Yarrowia lipolytica: one gene and its partners. The main gene of each other region encodes a partner of the protein of the gene in region 4 in a complex. Links are inferred from orthologs where the notes say so. Each region holds a gene or a part of one and is shown on either strand. Other genes may lie near its edges. The genes, in order: YALI1_F23351g, YALI1_D29852g, YALI1_E34870g and YALI1_F09896g.

The links.
Region 1: YALI1_F09896g (region 4) and YALI1_F23351g share a complex: the UniProt entries of both Schizosaccharomyces pombe proteins name them as parts of the mitochondrial large ribosomal subunit. The link is inferred for Yarrowia lipolytica from reciprocal best matches to the Schizosaccharomyces pombe genes mrpl15 and mrpl38.
Region 2: YALI1_F09896g (region 4) and YALI1_D29852g share a complex: the UniProt entries of both Schizosaccharomyces pombe proteins name them as parts of the mitochondrial large ribosomal subunit. The link is inferred for Yarrowia lipolytica from reciprocal best matches to the Schizosaccharomyces pombe genes mrpl15 and mrpl25.
Region 3: YALI1_F09896g (region 4) and YALI1_E34870g share a complex: the UniProt entries of both Schizosaccharomyces pombe proteins name them as parts of the mitochondrial large ribosomal subunit. The link is inferred for Yarrowia lipolytica from reciprocal best matches to the Schizosaccharomyces pombe genes mrpl15 and rtc6.

The regions. Positions count from the first base shown.
Region 1 is NC_090775.1:2,333,156-2,336,055, forward strand, and holds YALI1_F23351g (mitochondrial 54S ribosomal protein uL14m), read left to right. Parts: upstream 1-1,967; coding exon 1,968-2,357; downstream 2,358-2,900. UniProt on the Schizosaccharomyces pombe protein: Component of the mitochondrial ribosome (mitoribosome), a dedicated translation machinery responsible for the synthesis of mitochondrial genome-encoded proteins, including at least some of the essential transmembrane subunits of the mitochondrial respiratory chain.
Region 2 is NC_090773.1:2,984,119-2,987,028, forward strand, and holds YALI1_D29852g (mitochondrial 54S ribosomal protein mL59), read right to left. Parts: upstream 1,057-2,910; coding exon 505-1,056; downstream 1-504. Other genes in the region: YALI1_D29841g (uncharacterized protein), read right to left, coding at 406-456. UniProt on the Schizosaccharomyces pombe protein: Component of the mitochondrial ribosome (mitoribosome), a dedicated translation machinery responsible for the synthesis of mitochondrial genome-encoded proteins, including at least some of the essential transmembrane subunits of the mitochondrial respiratory chain.
Region 3 is NC_090774.1:3,484,952-3,487,835, reverse strand, and holds YALI1_E34870g (uncharacterized protein), read right to left. Parts: upstream 861-2,884; coding exon 684-860; intron 597-683; coding exon 525-596; downstream 1-524. Other genes in the region: YALI1_E34880g (uncharacterized protein), read left to right, coding at 1-103; YALI1_E34857g (uncharacterized protein), read left to right, coding at 2,134-2,877. UniProt on the Schizosaccharomyces pombe protein: Component of the mitochondrial ribosome (mitoribosome), a dedicated translation machinery responsible for the synthesis of mitochondrial genome-encoded proteins, including at least some of the essential transmembrane subunits of the mitochondrial respiratory chain.
Region 4 is NC_090775.1:987,817-990,820, forward strand, and holds YALI1_F09896g (mitochondrial 54S ribosomal protein mL57), read left to right. Parts: upstream 1-1,810; coding exon 1,811-2,434; downstream 2,435-3,004. UniProt on the Schizosaccharomyces pombe protein: Component of the mitochondrial ribosome (mitoribosome), a dedicated translation machinery responsible for the synthesis of mitochondrial genome-encoded proteins, including at least some of the essential transmembrane subunits of the mitochondrial respiratory chain.

The DNA of each region.
Region 1 (2,900 bases), about 1.3 Mb from region 4:
TTCTTGGTCGTTGTTTTCCGTGATGTTAAGAGTGGTTTATGATCGTGTCACAAGAGGTGTCTGTGAGCTGAGATCTATTTTTGGAAACGGCGACGGAATACTAGCGAGCGTGGAGGCCGTGGTCGTGTCGAGGTCGAGAGCAGTGTTGGACGAGCAAGCTGAGGGTCGGAGTAGCTTGGTTCACCGCGGATTCGAAAAAAAAAAACCGGTCGTTGCTGATACAATACAAGAACAAGTAGACGTCTATTTTCAAGTTTGCATTTTCTGGCTTTGCTAAGTTGACGAGGCGGTGTCCAGAACTTTAAAACCACATTAGAGTTTCTGGTCCGAAACCAGAAGGGCTCTTTGGTGTAGGTATCGTAGCAATGAGGAGTTTGGGGTGATCGAGCGGGGATTTGAGAAGGCACCACCCAAGTTCGTGGTCACGTGATTAATCCAGCGACTTTCCCGCCTCTTTTTGGTCCCCGAAACACCCTCTTCGGCCCCCTTGAGAAAATGTCACAGTACGCTGCAACATGCGCATAAATCCACCTGTTCACATTACATGAACTATTGCTTGGCTACCCTTTTGGTAAGCAATGAGCTAACCGAGAGACACGGAAGAGGGAGGGGGGTCCTTTTTAGAGCCGCTAAAATAAATGGCGCGCTGGTAAAGTGTCCACTTTTGGTCTTTATGGAGCAATGGCACGTGCTCTGATATAGATCCATTGCAATTCTGCGATCCAGCGGACGTGCCATACATCAATTCCATATCTCGATCACCTCGCAAGTCACTCTATTTACACATGGAATGTGTGTTTAAATTCTGGAAAAAACAGGCCCACAGGCTGAGTTGGAAAAACAGGGATAAGCAAACAAGGTTGGCTGGCTCTCCCAACACAGCAAATATGAGTGGATGTCAGACACAGTGGAATGAGAAAACAGCATACAGCATACATGGTCAGGGGTTTGAGGTGATATGGAAGAAGATCAGAGATACTCCCGGAGGATTTGACAGTACCCTATAAGCAAGCTGTTCACGTCATCTACCCTCGCGCCTATATACAACCCCAACTATTGGTTGTTGACATGGCTTCACAAGCTCCGAACTGTATTTACGCACTGCGAGATTCGTGTAAAATGAAATGCGCTTGTACTAACGTGATCTACGCGTGGCGCGGGGTTTGGTCGAGCTGAGGATTGATTGGCGCTGGATTCCGAGGCTGTATTTCAAGTCACGTGGGCTGAGAGAGAACGAGGCGAGATAACTGAAGCAGAAACACTACAAGTACAGTACTTGTAGTTAGTGTCTGGCGTTTCCCTTCGTACTGAAAACACTTACACACCCTACAATGACATCATGATCACCAAGAGTGATTGGTTCCGTGGAGATTTAGATATTTGAGATGCAAGAGTGTCGTCGGCTCCGGTGGCTTAGCTGCGCTACAGGTACTGTACATACTGTACTCGTACTTGTACCAGCTTGACATAGCTGGCACGTTCCAGTATATGATAGTGGAACCACTTGTTAGGTATATTGGTTGAATTTTAGTAAGCGGGATCAATTCAGCTGACCAATTGGTACTCAATGTATTTTACAGCCTATCTCCAGCATGTCTGGAACCCATGCTGTATCATACTCCTTCATGTTTCTGATCTCTACAATACTGTAACAAAGTTCCACTTTTTTTGGCCAACTCTTTTCCCAAATTCTTAGCATACATCTCACTTATGGATCTCATCCCCATTTAAGTGACAAACCCACAATCTCAACAGGCAATTATATTCAATAGGCGCTTTATATTATTAATACCTGGAAAAAACTCACATGACCTAATCCTCTTCCAGGGCTCCGCTAATTGTCGCCCTCCTTAGTCATATGCTCTGCTCATACACACTGTCATTTAAGGTTTCGAGAATCCAACTTTTCACCCAGATTTCAACATCTCAGTTAGGATCTAACACAACTACACACAACCTCACTCACCATGTTGTACCTCAAGTCTCTGATCAACTGCATCGACAACTCTGGTGCTCTGCTGGTCGAGTGCATCAAGGTGCTGCGAAAGTCACCCAAGAACTACGCCGGTGTCGGCGACAAGATTGTTTGTGTCGTCAAGCGGGCCCGACCCATTCCTAACGGCTCTTCCATCACCCAGAAGGCCCGAAAGGGTGAAATCAAGCGGGCTGTCATTGTGCGAACCAAGAAGGAGATCCGACGACCCGACGGCTCCTACATCCAGTTTGATGACAACGCCTGTGTGCTGATCAACGACGCCAACGAGCCCGTGGGTAACCGACTCAACGGAGTCGTTGCCAAGGAGGTGCGAGAGCGAGGCTTCACCAAGGTCGCTTCTCTGGCTCCCCGAGTCTTGTAATCTGTGCTTACCGTACCCGTACCGTAACCATGGCTTGTATATAGTATTTAAATGTTTGGTATTCACAAGCTGTAGTGTGGGATGGGTAGCTTGGAAACAAGGAGTGGTTGTAGTGCGAGTACAAGTAAGCCCAAGAAAGTAATTTATCGATGATTATAGATAATGAATGAATGTTGTCACAGATGTAGTTACAGCACTCGTACGAATACTTGTACCGTATGTACTTGTTCTGTGGGGATAGAGCTTGCCTCCATACTTCATCACTATCTTACTTCGTCACTATTGTACTCCATCATAGATTCAGCCATCCAGAAATAACATGTCAAAGTGCTATTTCGAGATAAGGAGCAACTCTTGTTTGTATCAACTTGAGGTTCCGTTCTAGAAGACGGTGTTTGATCAAGTAGAGAATCTCATAGCTATCGTCGTATGCCCTCAAAATGTCATCTCCACCCCATACCAACCAACGTCAGACCTCCTCCATTTTATGAGACAAAGTCTCACACGCCCTTCCCAATCCCCTGTGTTACAGCTCAACTTGGT
Region 2 (2,910 bases), on a different chromosome or scaffold from region 4:
CTCGACCACTTTGTCGGCGAGTTTGCTAGGGTTGGAGTTATCTTCTCTGCTGAAACTCATTGACAGAAAGGTACGACCAGTATTATCAACCGTCAATGCTGCGACGACTTGCGAAGACAATCTCAATCCCTTGGATTAATTGGCCAGAATTCTCGGAATTCTCATATCCAGAGGCTTTTGGAACTTGATATTCTCGTCCTGGTTCTTGACCAGGTTGTTTAGTACTCTCGATACTCGGGGCAGTATTCGAGGGATCTATACGCATTAGAGACGTGTTTGTCACCTTGTCAAAGCTTCAAACCCCAACTCCGATCTTGCAAAGACCATCTCGACGTACACAGAAGTCTACAGTATGTACTGTACTGTAAGAGCCACTCGGCTCTGGGCTTGTTTCAAGTTCATTACTATATACATATCCTCCTGCTGGGTAGATCGAATGAGATGTACGGATGCCATCCATCTGGTTGTGTTCGATGTACAGACACTTGCTCCTCTCGTATCTGTCTAAACCCACTGCTTCTTCTCTCGCTCCCGTCGCTCCAATCTCTCCCAGTGTTTCTTTCCCTTTGCCTCGGCAATCTTCTCGTCCATGGTCTCCAAGGCCTTGGCAATCTTTTCCTTTCGCGACTCCTTGGTCTTTTCTCGGATATGCTTCTTCCACACCATCTCGCCAATCAGAGGCTTGGCCTGCTCGTGTCGGGTCTCGAAGAAGGTCTTTTCCATGGGAGGAAGCAGCTCGTGCACTCCGTGCTTATGGGCCAGCTTGTACAGGTCCGACTGTCGTCTCAGCGAGTACAGAGGCTTGTGGGTCTTGTTGGTGACTCGCGACTTGTTGGGCAGGAAGGGGTTGGCGTTGGGGGCGTCCTTGAACCCCTTCTTGGCCGAGTAGTTGACAAATGGCTGGGGAGGGAACCGCTGGAAAAAGTCCTGCAGCTTCTGGGGCAGCTTGGCGAAGTTGGCGTTGGGGATGTACGACGGAGAGGCGTCGATGACGGGCACCTGAGCCTTGACGGCGCTGGAAACGGCCTGCTTGAGCATGTTGACCGACGGTTTCATTTTGTGTGGTGGTGATGACGAATCGGTGTGCAGGTCAATTTTTGATCCAAGTGGAAAACCTTAATTGAACTGGAGGTGAAATTTTTGGCCGTCGATTGTGGAACAGTATTAAAAGGTCAAATTGTGGAATATATGAATAAATGAGAATAAATATGTTTTTATAATCTCCTTTTTTTAGTTCAGGTTCATTTTTATTTCATTTTCAGCTGTACTGGAACAGTTTTGAGAGCGTATAGGAGTACTCGTTTGTAGATTATGAGTAAGTTTAGTAGTAGTCTGATCGAGAATCGAACCCCGGTCGTTCCGCGGAAACGTGGTTGTAGGTCGAGTGAAGAGATGCTCTTTTCAGGGTATTGAGTCGATGGTCTCACTTGGTTTGTTAGGAAGTCTTGTTTCAGCCACGAGATGAAATGATTGCAACTTTTTCCACTCATTTTGGACCATTACTCAGTGATATTGATGCATTCCAGTTATCGTGTACTTCTCAACAAATATATCAACTGAGTTTGACATATCTGTTGAGCTCATAAGTACCGTATTAACACGACTTTGACGGATTAACCCATAACTTGGTTAGTTTCGACGCTTCTGACTTACAAGTGGTATCTTTGGATGGATATGAACCGCTATGTAGACTCACTACTCTGCACACCAAGGACGTCGTGAAATACGTAAGTAGTGAAGTGAAGCGTCGGGTAATTGTTTCAATATCACCTTTTATGGCTCCATAGTACATACAATGGTATACTGTACATGTAGCTTCTGCAAACTGCCTACTGAGCATCTCCAAACATTGGATCCTGCACCCGATGCGAGGGTGTGGCTCCCGGTGGAGTGGTGATGGAGTGTGAATAGTCACACTGTGGAGGTAAATATCGAAATATCCAAAGGAATAGGGCTTGTTATGCCCGAATGAACATGAACATGTTTAATGAATGTGTGCCTTCATCTTTCAGCACTCCGCTCACTTGGAACGATCTGATGCTGAATAAAAGCCATAGGCTTCTCTGCACGCCAGTAGAGCATATAACTACAGGTATTCTTACAGAGTCTTAATCTAACCAAGACGCCAACACGCTATAAATTCCTTTTATCAAAACACAACGGCCCCTTTGTTAGTTTAGACCATCTCCTATGTTAGCCTACACCTATTCACATCTAGTTAAAGTCTTTGTTCAGCCGGACAAAGAGCGTTCAACAAAGAGACCAACAAAGGGACCAACAAAGATCATGCAGGTTGCTTATCAGAGTTGGAAATAAGGGGAGAAGGACTTGCACTTGTATTTAGATAAGTACTCGGAAATGAAGAAGCCAATAGAATAAACCAGGCGTAATTGGCAGTTGAACGTTCAAGTTTGGCCTCTGCCAACTCCATGCCACATGACGCCCCCACAATCTTTTTGAAGTTTCACTTTTCACCTTGTGAGTCACAAAGCACATCTCCGAGAATACGACTGGATGAGTTTATCTATGAATGTGAACGCCAGCATGGGACGAGGAAATGGGCGAAGCGAATGTCCTTTCTGGCGTGTTACAAGTATAATGGTCATGGGGTCTACATCAGGGGGTATATGTATATAGTTAGTGACGGCGGTTACAGTATCGTATGGTCACATAGTTATCGGACTACTGAATCAAACGACCCCATCTTTGCTCATGTCCTGATTGGAAGATGGAAAAGTGAATTATATCAATGTGCGTAGATGAAAAAGTTCAATAGACATCCGTGTATTTATCAATTAGGTCCAATGATGCAGGGCAGTGGCAAAACACGGACGCTCGTGGGGGTCGTGTGGGAGCTGGACAATGTCACGATGACAATACCAAAACAGGAGATCACGAGACTGGATTGAG
Region 3 (2,884 bases), on a different chromosome or scaffold from region 4:
TATCTTGATGAAGTTTTACGGAGTCTCTGGAGGTTTCCCTGTCGCAGGTGAGGGTGCTGCCCATTGCGGCGGCAAGTGCCCTACCGTGGTGGAGGTTGACTAAGTCATGAGTGCTACAGTAGTCACATGTACATGCAAAATATTATAGAATAATTTATGATCAATTGATCAATGAAGTAAGCAAACTTGGCAGAACTAGTGAGCAATGTATAGAGATGATAAATCAGTACTGCAGTGTATGTGCTCAGATAATGAGTAGCTAAGCAACTACAATTGTACAAGTAGTGAACTTTTGAAAGAGTTGAAGTTTTGAGATGTGTAAGCGTTGATTTATTATTTTGACGGTACATGTTCTGTAAGATCTCCAATTTCTGTCCTTCTGTGGCCATCCGATCAGGCGGCAAACTGAATACAGTACCTATCTACACATCCACTCCGTCCACATCGAAACCAGTGTACGCAATTTCGCCCCCACACTCCCTTGGTAAATCAGAAATATGTACAATTACAATAAATAGCATCATTTAACCCTGTCGCTGCTTGTGTCGAGGGTGGGTCTTGCAGTAGTTGAAAACTCGACCCTTTCGAGTGACAATCTGATATTAGTAACGTGTCTAGAAGGGGCGGAATCACTTGATCCTAGTGAACAGTGTCACGAAAAACTCTTGTGGATGGATACTTACGTAGCAGTCGGGGCATCGCTTTCGCACGGCAGACTTGGTCTTCATTCCTCGGACGGTGATGGCGGCAGCGGCATTCACGGCCGGTCGAGACACCTGGCCAGCGGTCTGGAACAGGGAGGGTCGCTGAAGAGTAATCATGGCCGGAACTCGGCTAATGGATCGAAGGACGTTGAACATTGCGAATTTGATTGTCTGGTCTTTGCAACGCTTTTATGTTGTGTGAATTTTTCAAAGTTCGCACTTCAAACAATATAAACTTTTGGCGCCACGGTCCAGCTTTAGCCACCAGGGTTATGTATATTTGGGACTGCACGGAACATGTGGGCACACACGAGAGACTTCCGTACGTATGTCATAAGAATGACTCGAAATAGTAGTCGGAGAAGTGTGAAAAAAATGGACGGGACTAAGCGAAAATCCGACTACAATCTGGTGTAATTCATACTCATCACGCTGTCCAACATATGTCTCGGATTTAATTCTCCACGGCCTTAACTCACCATTAGGGTATGTGAGTGGTATGATATTGCTGGGCTATACCGGAAAAGCACTCATCAGCCGCGTGCTAAGTTCGTGATTGCAACAAATACTCGAGCTTGGGGATATAATTAGGTACCCACGGGACCTTGATAACGCGATCGGGTAAGACCTCTAACTTACATGTGGAGATATCTTGCCCATAGTATCCTTTGAATGACCAAGAAATATACCGAGCAGGGGTTTGTGCAATTTGTAATTGTTAAATACCCAATTGGACTTGCTTGGTTGATCTAACAACAATCAACGACTCGTACATACTGTGCTGCCGGTACTCGTAGCACGTGTAATTAATGTAGACTGGGTGGAACTGCCACATCCTCGTGGTGTGATATCAGTATGGTTTTGTGAAAGCAACAGGATCGAAACTTTTCAACTGTCTCGTTTAGTAGTGGAGTTATTGGTCCCATGACAGTTCGACAGAGAGATTATCGAGATTGCGCTTTGAGAAATACTTGCACGTTTGTTGGAGACACGAGCACAGAGAGCTCCGTTTGAACCTGTTGATTGATTTTAGCGCTGTCATATCTACAAAACAAAGAATGTCATTGGAATCATCAACACAACCATCCATTGTTGGCATGACATTCAGGCTCATTTTACCTCAACTCTGGTAGACATACCTTCACAAGATATAGACTCCGGGATACCCTTGTGACCAGCTTAGGTAAGTCAGAACAGCAGAATGAAAGGGCGACAAGGAAAAGAGAGAGATCTTCTTGAACGCTCACATACTCGGCTACTCGCAATGACCTTCATATACTAAGAAGTCGCTTCTCACATCAAGACGCCACGTTTCTCTGTTCCGCACATGTCCCCGGTACCTCCACGTTCACCTCCCAACACCCTAACCTCACAACGCAGCATCACCATCTGGAGACGTGATTAACTCTGAAATCCGCCACGCAACACTATGAACCACCGACTGCCGCTGAACCAGTCGGATGTGCGGGCTGGCCGGTCTGGAGGCGGACCCATGCAAATGCTCCGTCGAATCTTCCGCCCCCGAACACTGGACTTCGAAACTGCATCTTGGGAAATCTTCTATCTCATTTTTCGACCCAAGAGGGTCTACAAGAACCTCTACTACCACAAACAGACCAAGAACAAGTGGGCCCGTGACGATCCGTCCTTCTTTATCCTCCTCAATGTGCTGCTACTGATCAGTGCACTTGGTTGGGGACTCGCCTACCAACCTGGAATCGTCCGAATCATTAGACTCATGTTCTACATGGTCCTGGTTGATTTCCTGCTCCTGGGACTCATCATTGCCGCCGTCTTCTATTTCACTATACGCAAATTCCTGACGAAGAAAGGTGACCAGTTCTCCCAAGGAGCTCTTGAGTACGCATACTGTTTTGACGTCCATTGCAATGGATTCCTCATTGTCTGGCTGCTGTTGTACGTGCTGCAATTTGTGCTTCTTCCAGTGCTCACTAAGGATAACTGGCTGGCGCTGTTTGTCGGCAACACCTTGTACGCCTTTTCCACCTGCTACTACTTCCTCGTCACCTTCTACGGCTACTCCAGTTTGCCATTCCTGGAACACACCGAGTTCATCTTGCTGCCCATCCCCATAATTATCGTCTTCTACATTGCATCGCTGTTTGGCTTCAATGTCGTTCAGCACATGGTCGAGTTTTATTTTGGAAAGTAAATGAACA
Region 4 (3,004 bases):
CTGCGGTTTTCAGGCGACAAAAAGAAAATTGAAACTTGCACCGACACTAGTGACACAGAACCAGTGGCCCCATGTCTGAAATACGCTGGCTCGTCCCGGGGATCGTTTCAAAAGGACGTGTTTCTGTGTTTCTGAGGGTTGCTAATCCGGGGTAAATAGTCTCCCTTTTAGATTCCCCTTTAGATTCCCTCTTTGCTCCGTATCACAAGACACAACATGGGCTGACAGCACCCAAAAGAGGTTCAGCAAACACACGATAATTACGAGTGTCGTGGTTGTGGACCCATTGTTTTGTGTCGGACGAGACGTTTGTGGTGGTCTTGATGGAGTTTGTGGTGGTTATCATCTCCCAGATTTTTTGCGTCGTCATCTCTCTGGGGTTTCTCCGTTATGTTCTTGCTCAGTCTTCCTTGATACACCAGTTGGTGTCTTAGGTCTCTTTACCACGCCTTTGCCACTGGATATCATGCATCCGGACAGTTGGCAAACCTCATGTGATGGTCGCGTATTATCACGTCTGCAAAGATATATAAAGACATGGGTCCCCTCCCCCCTCTATCTTTCCGTAACACACGATGCGAAATACCAACACTACCAACATGAACCACGACCCACCGGTGAGACGCTCCGGAACATGCACCCTGTGTATGGACAAGGTGTACATTGACGAGCTGTACACTCATCGCAAGATCTGTAAACCTGACGATACGGAAATGATTCTGGCCGATAAGCAGTCTGAAGAAAACCTCGCAAGGCAGTACTACCTGCATCCCACCTATTCACAACAGCAAAGATGGTGGGGAAGTTTCGTGCCCCATTTGTGGTGTCAGTAACCTGGCAGCACTAGCTGAGAAGCTGCTGTGAGATGTGAGCTAATCATACATGCTGACCTCCTTGTCCTCAAGATTTAACATAGCTCACACCTGGAACCTCCGCTACATACACTGTCGTGAATTCCAGATACTAATTACGAATACGAGTACGAATACGAGTACGAGTAGCTACCGAACAAGTATGCCCGTGTTCAATCACTCATGAGAAATGAAAACGAGAAAAATATAATGAAAAATACGATAATATTATTGATGAATACAAAATCAGTTGTATATACCCCAAGTACAGTAGCAACCATTGGTTTAGGACCTTCATATACCAGTACATACATCTACAGACAAAGACAGCGACCATAGATATGGTAAGAGCACTTGTATTGTCATGTGGGGGAACGGTATAGTTGTCCTAATCAATCTGAGATTCATTATGAACAGATTTCTAGTATTTATCCTCCTTTTTCTATGTATAATTGTTAGAAATATTCTATGCAGAAGTTGTCCGAAATGTACTATCGATAACCATCATGTGCATGTACAAGTACACTGTACAAGATGTATCATACGAGAATGTACTGTACCGATACTTGTAGTCATTATAGATATCCCACTCGAGGTTTTTGTTTATGTCGTGTAAAGGTCTCATTATCGCTTGGATCAGTCCGATACCAGATCATCTCTCACTCCTGGTCTTCGTTAGTTAGCTTCACTGTACTTGGACTCTAGTTGAATACCTCGTCTATCAACATTACAACAAGTCACTCAAATCAGCTCCAGTAAACTCAAATATTTCCAAGAAAATTGTATGCCCATTTTTCCCTTTCATTTTACACCCCTTTTTACAACTTCTACTCCTCTGGCACCGGTATTCCAACATTTCCCACAAGACACCACCGAGAATCGAACTCACCACCCTCTCACATTTCACCCCCCAAGCAGTCGTCCCTTCTCAGGTCCCAAACCTTATCCACTTACCCTACATGAAATTTTCACACAAGCACAGATACACACTCACGTTGCAGAGTTCCACAAACAGCACACCCACCATGTTTGGCCGTCTTTTCACCCGGCAATTGTCGTACCAGCAGCGCCGAATCCCCCGCTCGGCGATTCTGCAGGGTCCCGTGACTCTGGACGTTTTGGCCAAGGACTCGACCCGTCCTTATGGTCTGTCCGAATCCAAAAAGGAGATTGATGCTCTGAAATCGTCCCTGTCGGACTCCGTCAGCGGCCTGGAGGACTCTCTGCTGCTCCAGGTGCTCACACACAAGTCCTTTGCTGGCGGACTGCCCTCTCACAACGAAAAACTGGCGTTTGTGGGCCGAAAGTTTTTCCCAGTCTCGGTTCTCTCTCACAACCTGTCCAAGGAGGCCTCAAGCGACCCCGTCAAGGCTCTGGAGTCGCTCAACTTTGATCTGTCTGGGTTTGCCGCAAAAAACGGCCTCGAAAAACTCGTCTACTGGAACACCAAGGGAGTCACGAACGCCACTCCTTCATCAAAGATCACCAGCGGATCCGTCTACGCCCTGGTGGGCGCTATTCTCCTCAAGAAGGGCGAGAAGGCCGCCCATGAGTTCGCCCAGAAGGTGGTCCAGCAGAATTAAACTTGTATATATGAGGGGATGCACACCAACCAACCAAGTGTGAAGCACATAGCAAATGTGAATGATGAATGCATTGAATGAACAATCAAAGCCAACCAGCAAACGAGCGTGGATAGAGACACAGCCAGATCAGTAGGTATGAGTGTCAGATCGGCAGGTCGATGTGTTGTAATACAAGAGGGTAGGAGCATCACCAGATTACTATCGAACATACTGTAGTAAGAGAACGCATATACCAAAAGGATCCTTCCAAAGCAACATATAACCTGAATCGCAATGTCAGCAGAAGATGTCCCCACTGCCATAGAGGTGGATCGATAGTCTACCTGTAGTATTGGTGCACGTGACCTAGGTCAGACTGAGATGTCACGTACAAGAATTGAGACGCAGAATCACACACAAGGTAGCCTCGGCAATATCACTAATTATCACCTAAGTGATTTCCGCAAGATCAACAGAGTCATTTGTGGCCCGCGTTTCTTTCATCAACAGCTACTGAGAGGTTCGATATATATACTACAGTTACTCAGCAGATAGTTGAGAGAAACAGACCAGATATTGGAGTAGACT